Xenopus tropicalis: one gene and its partner. The main gene of each other region encodes a partner of the protein of the gene in region 2 in a complex. Links are inferred from orthologs where the notes say so. Each region holds a gene or a part of one and is shown on either strand. Other genes may lie near its edges.

The links. Proteins that work in one complex are often made in the same cells at the same time.
Region 1: emc10 (region 2) and emc9 share a complex: the UniProt entries of both Homo sapiens proteins name them as parts of the ER membrane protein complex. The link is inferred for Xenopus tropicalis from reciprocal best matches to the Homo sapiens genes EMC10 and EMC9.

The regions. Positions count from the first base shown.
Region 1 is NC_030677.2:139,430,987-139,435,286, reverse strand, and holds the start of emc9 (ER membrane protein complex subunit 9), read right to left. Parts: upstream 2,801-4,300; 5' UTR 2,643-2,800; exon of another isoform or gene 2,612-2,642; intron 2,606-2,611; exon of another isoform or gene 2,169-2,605; intron 839-2,168; 5' UTR 835-838; coding exon 643-834; intron 537-642; coding exon 460-536; intron 1-459. UniProt on the Homo sapiens protein: Part of the endoplasmic reticulum membrane protein complex (EMC) that enables the energy-independent insertion into endoplasmic reticulum membranes of newly synthesized membrane proteins.
Region 2 is NC_030683.2:110,440,453-110,442,742, reverse strand, and holds the end of emc10 (ER membrane protein complex subunit 10 precursor), read left to right. Parts: intron 1-1,205; coding exon 1,206-1,316; 3' UTR 1,317-1,790; downstream 1,791-2,290. UniProt on the Homo sapiens protein: Part of the endoplasmic reticulum membrane protein complex (EMC) that enables the energy-independent insertion into endoplasmic reticulum membranes of newly synthesized membrane proteins.

The sequences.
Region 1 (4,300 bases), on a different chromosome or scaffold from region 2:
AAAAATCAGCCAGATAAAAATTGGGCAGGTTTCATTTTCCAGGCTGCTATGGAATAAGGTGGCCTTACATGGGCAGATTTAAGCTGTCATTCAAGTCCTTCAGACCATTTCGGCTGCTTATCTGCCCATGTCAAAAATTGGGTTAGGTGTCAATTGGACAGGTCTGATTTTCCTGTCGGACCAGGGACTGCTTTGTATCATTGAAATGGTCCTCACTGTTATGGCTCCTATACCCAGAATTGTAATTAGCCAAACGGATCGTACGGTGTATGGCCACCCTTACTGCATTGGGGTAAAGTTGCTCCAAAGACAGGAAGCTGCACACAGAGACAGCAGAAAATCTGTGCATGGTAAAGAGCACATGGTAAAATCTAAAGTAAATGATGCGCAAAACCTCAATCTGCACAAAACAACACTGACAAAGGGGTACAGACAAAAAGTATTTGCATAGCTTATTACCTGGTGTCTCTCAGGCCAGAGTTTGCTTGGTAATAACCAGCAATTACCAGTCCTTGGAGAGCACTCCATGAATCGATCTGTATCACAGTAAGAGAGAAAAAAAGAGAGAGAAAGCTACAAGTGTTTGGAACAGTGTGAAAGCACTTTGGAATGGCAAAGAGTGCCCATAGAATGGTTACATACCTGTGTTAGAGCCACTTCTAAACTGAGAGACAAAGGCAGATAAAGGTGACAGATTGGGATACAGTCACTCAGGGTGACACATCCATGTGATTTGTGACCCAGGAGAGCCCCACACACGGTACTGTGAGGATAGCGTGCCGCATGCAGAAGCATCTTGACATAAACACGAGTGGTGAACTCAACTTCACACATTTTCCTACAAAGCATGGAACAAATAAAGAGTGCACGGTAGAATCTAAAGCAAATTATGCACAAAACTTCAATTTCTGCAAGATCTGTGCTTGAATAAAAGGTCACTTGTAATACATCAAAGAAGAAATAAAATTAAATTCCCTGGGGTGTGCCAATATGTTACACAACTACAATATTCTAATTGCTAACCTGCTAACCCAGGCCAGTGCTCCTGTTCTTCAAAAAACTACATTGCTTGGGGCCTCCTTCTTCTTCCATCAGCTTCTGCTGATTTATGTACTGCAAATGTGCTCAGGTTCAAGAGGTACAGGGATTTTGGGGACAGCAAAGAAGGTGGTGGCGCAGCACCCTACGTTGGTTTCAAGTCATTTGTTAGATTAAAGGAAAAGAAAGACAAATTCACTGGGGGGGTACCCATATGTTAAGCACCCCCTTATGAATGTAATCACTAATTGTTCCCCTCCCAAGCCTGCCCCTTTTTGGAAAAGAAGTGCACCTACCCAGGGAAATAAGTTGCATAATGTTTGCTGGCATTTTTCTTAACTTTCCTGTGCACCGCTAACTCAGGCTCAACAATGTTTGATTGTTTCTAATGTGCAAGTCTAAAGGTGGCTATACATGGTAAGATTAACTTATGTGGCGAGGTTGCCAAACATGCTAATCTTTTCCCCCAATATACCCACCAGTATGCAATGTTGTGCTAAAACGACTGCATTGCAATGAAGGGGATAGAAAAAGTAAGAGAGAGAACCACATCAATAAACCAATGTGGTCGGGGAGGCCTGTTGGAGGACCTCACATACAGGGAGATAAGCTGCTAAATCAGTCTGAAGGACTTGCATTGGCAGCTTACATCTGCCTGTGTATGGCCACCTTAATGCTAATACCACATGTTTATTTGCAGGCCAAAAATTAGCCCCTATGCCTGCACCTGGAGCCATTGCATCAGCCTGGGTGCAGTTACAGGGGGTAGATTTAGAAGGTATAATGCATACTTGCAACTGTGAAAAATAAGAAACATGGTGGTGAGTCAAATTCATTCTGCATTTTGCAAGTTTAATATATAAATAAGTACAGACTGGCATGTTTTATATATAAACACTCTGTAATACTGTAGTAACACTATAAAGGGGATGTCCTGAACCATATCTGATATTTTTTCCCCCCCCTTAATCATATAAGGTGTAAATGTAGTAATATATGCAGAATGTATATATTCTGCATATAAGACTACATTTAGAACCCACAGGTATATTGGCCGGAAGCAGTATATAATTGATATATCATTCAGTGTCGGCCTGCTGCCACACCACTCCATGCACCCTGGTCCTTACCTTGCAAGACAGACCTTGCCATCCCCTGCGCATTTGCATGCCGTGTTGCATTACTTCAGTGGCTGCGTGGAACGCACAAGTCCAAGACAGGGAGTGGACCTGGGCCGGCAGGGCCCACAAGAGCTAGGGCCCACCTGTTTTTTTCCCGGTGTCCCACCAGCCCAGTCCAACCCTGATATTATTTGTATAGCTATAATAAGTAGATATGGGTGCCCATGAAATAAAAAGCCCACTTCTATCTTGGTCATATATCACTAAATGGATCTGAAGTGCTGCTAATAGGGTGTAACCAGTAAGATGCAGGAATAAACAGTTATACTTAGTTATTATAGGGCTTAACACATTTGTTCATTTATTAAGAGCCCATACAGTGATCTATCAAAGTGAAGGGATATAATCCCTACAGAAGCAGTATTACATGATGCAGAGAAAGAGGTACCCACCCAAACTGAATAATGAGAAGCTTGCTTTTACCCTGCTCTTGCACCAACTCTCCTACAGCAGCAGAATCCCAGTCAGCATAGGCAGAGTCAGCTTCCTATCCGGCAGAGGGACCATGAAAGGGTGACACTGTACCACGTGACTGATAGGAACTGGAGGGCGGGGCCGTCCCTGCAAACAGGAAGTAATGGGATCATTAAGGGGGTGTTAGCTGTTTTCATCCAGCTTTGTAGTGGCACGGAGCCGAGGTGGTCGATTGCTGTGTCCAGCTGCGCAGCGTGTTATTATTAGAGATTGCTGGGGACTGTCAGAAGGGACAGCATGCACAGGGTGTCTTTTTTAATACGGATTACACCACAGACTTTTTGCTCGGTGCTTGAGTGTTAGCATTCCATCCCACCTTTCTGCATTTTGGCCCATCAAACCTTATTCTGCCCCAGCCAGGTTTCAGGCTTTTCAGCCTAGCCTTGATTCTGTTGTTCAGTGTTTCATTAACTCCAATACAAAAACACTTAAGTGCTTCATCTGATTAATTAATTAAAACATAGCTTTTATTTCATCTTAAAGTTAAAAAGTGAATTTCATATGATAAAAAAATAGTTACATAAGTTACAAAAGATATATTTACACATTCATTAGTCTTTGTTAGTTGTCTTAATAATCAATAATAGATTGATATTAATCATTATGCATGATCAGTTATCTTATAAATTGCAAGGAAAAAATTCAAGGGGGTGAAAATCATTGAGGTAGAAGTTCACTATAATATTTACACTTATTTACAGGGTAAGTTACATTTCATTAGTCTCATGCATCATCACAGGAGATATAGATCTATGTATCCCATAGCACTGGCTTCCTAGTAGTAAAATTAGCCAGATGCAGTAAAGGGAAGAGGGGGGAGGGATTGGTGCATGCACTAGATCAGTAGAGTCTGAAATCACCGTAGTTACACAGTCAAACCAACCTCCATAAACAGTCTATTGTACTAAAGCCCCTCTTTCACTTCCATTGCCAAAAAAGTATCCACCTCATTGAGGTTACATAGGGGACTAAGTACTGATCAAATGGGAGGTTGCCATGCGCTCTCCTCACAACCTTCCACCTTCCACAAACAGTTTTTATCACAGTTTCTGTGCAGATTCTTTCCCTCCCCCTAAAGCTGGCCATACACGTGGTGATCTGACGATGTTTATATGACCGATGGTCGCACGAAACATCGTCAGATCCGCCACACACAGTCAGGGCTGAAACAGCAGATAAGGAGGTAGAAACAATAGGATTTCTACCTCCTTCTGCCGATTCAGCCCTGACGGCAGATTTTGGTCAGGCGCCTTCTATGGCGCCCGATCAAAATTTTCTAACCTGGCCGATCGGTGAGTCGTCCGATATCAGCAGTTTCCTGCGATATCGGTCGACTCGCCAACATGCCATACACGCACCGAATATCGTACGAAACAAGGTTTCGTACGATAGTATCGGTGCGTGTATGGCCAGCTTAACACAAACACCGGCGATGCTAATCGGCTCTCAGAGCAGCTACCCTCCCATTCATCATCCAGCCCTCTCTCCCTCCTGTGCTTACTCTCCGGTAGTGCCAGCTGCGGCTATCAAGAGCCGCCTCGTCTGGAAGTAATTAGTATACAGCCTTTCTCTCTGAACTACCTCAAAGTCACACCCTCACCTGCCCG
Region 2 (2,290 bases):
CCAAAGAGTAGTGATGAGCGAAATTTTTGGCAAGGCATGGATTTGCGGCAAATTTCTGCGTTTCGCTATTAGCGGATTTTTTTGCAAAAGGCCGCAAACGATTTGCTGCAGAAAAATTTGCGCAGTGATTGTAATTGATTACCTTATATTCCAGGTTGGTGCTCCTGTTAGCAGAAAACCACACCAGCCTGGAGTAGCTGTGAGAGAGTGGTGTGGTTTTCTCCTAACAGGACCACCAACCTGTGGTATAAGGTAAGCGATTACAATCACGGGGGGGGTGTCTAACATTTTGGCACCCCCCAAGTGATTTTACCTTTCATTCTCCTTGTCTATTTAATGTCAAGCAGTTAATATACTTTAGCAAAAGTGACCCAGGCCTTACCTGACTTTAAGGTCACCCCCACTTCAAAGAGTAATGCAGAGCAACTGTTCCGAGCTGCTGTAGATTACCTGTGAGCTATTCCATCCCCTTTCCGTGCTAAATCCATCTGCAGCAGGATCACCTCCTAACACCAAATTTGCAAATTTTGTCAGCCCACTTTGGCTATATAACCCGCTGGTGCTGTGCCAGGGCTGCCCAGTGTATGAGCCCACCTTTAGATTTAGCAAATGCTAAGAGAGACGTTGTATGTGGTGGGGTTGATAAAGGGGAGAAGTAGCAGGGTTCATTGAGTGGAGAGGTGATTGAAAGACTGGCAGAAAGGTGAGACGATGGAGAGGACGTGAGGGAGAGAAAAGTGGTACTGCTATTGGCACAGGCTACCGGGACTCATTTTTTGCAGGTACCAAACTATAGGTTCCAGCCTATTTTCATCAATTTGCCGGCTAAGGAAATCCTTACATGGGTACCTTAGAATGGACACTGGGTAGCCTGAAATCCGTTGCTGATCTATCCATGCATGCAAAGGGCAGTAGGCTGGTGGTAGTTTTAGTTGTCTAAAAAACTTAAATATGTTTAAATTTATATGTTATATCTATATAAAATATACATACGTGTATATTTTTATCTGCAGCTGTATGTTATTTCTCTTTTTTTTTTTTAGGATGGTTCTCCCTGCTGGACGTTAATTTAACAAACAACTCAGTAATTGTTTTTTCCACTTCAATTTGCAATTCCCCATAAATTGAATTTCTGTGCCTTTGCATGAGCTGGCAGCATCGCTATAAAGAGATAATTAGTGCTAACAATTGTTTCCATTTTGCAGTGGATGTACATTATTCCCGTCGTGTTGTTCTTAATGATGTCTGGAGCGTCTGACGCTGGCAACCAAGGAGGCAATGGTGGAGGAGGCGGTGGCAGTGGGGGAGGAAGGTGATTGCTATGAATGGAACCTTGATGTCCCCTTTGAGAATACACTGGCAGCCTTTATCACAGCTGGCTATCACCAGTGCATGTGAACTGCATTATTTTGTTACATGGAGCACAGCATTCCATTTGCCACCATCTGCAAGAAGAGAGATTCAATGGATTTGATTGAAACTAAACCTAAAATGCAACTTTCTTTTTATGAAAATGCTCCCAGTAGTAGTCACAAATATATATACATGCAAAGGTATCAGGAGCTTGGGAGGATACTGCAGTATGGATGGGGTCGTAGGGATCATTTGTCTACTAAAGGACACATCAAGTGTGTCTCCTACTCACAACTGAATACTTGCTCTTTGCTACATAGTAACTGTATACACATTTGTCAGAGAATATATATTTGTGAATGAGATGCATTTTCATATGGGCTCAACTTGGATTTTAGTTTTAATGATGCATTAATTTATTAAAAACTTTGGAATTATTTGGTGTGTGGTTCGGTGTGTATTGTTGGAATGGACAGATATAAAACTATGCTGAGTTTGACAGACTGACATCTGGAGCCATCGCAGGGAGAATGATGCTATTGATAATTAACCTATTAATTGAACTTTTTTTTTACTATAATGATTCAGTATATGAAATCCCAGGTTCTTACTATTTGTATGTTCCAGAAAATACTAAAAAAAAAAAATCTAATATATGAAAGGATACTGAGAGTTCAGCAAGCTAGTTGGGCATTCCTGAATAAAATTGTGACATTAAAAGGATTGTTGATTTTTATTTTGATATATACAATGATATGAGACAATTTGTAATTGGTTTACATTTTTTATTATTGGTTTTTGACTTATTTACCTCTTTGTTCAGCAACTCTCTAGTTAACCTGAAGATGAGCCATCTTTTTAAGATTTCTTTTTGCCCTTTGTCTCTTTCTTTGTTTTTTTGGGCTGATGAAGTTGAACTTTATCACAAACTATTTCC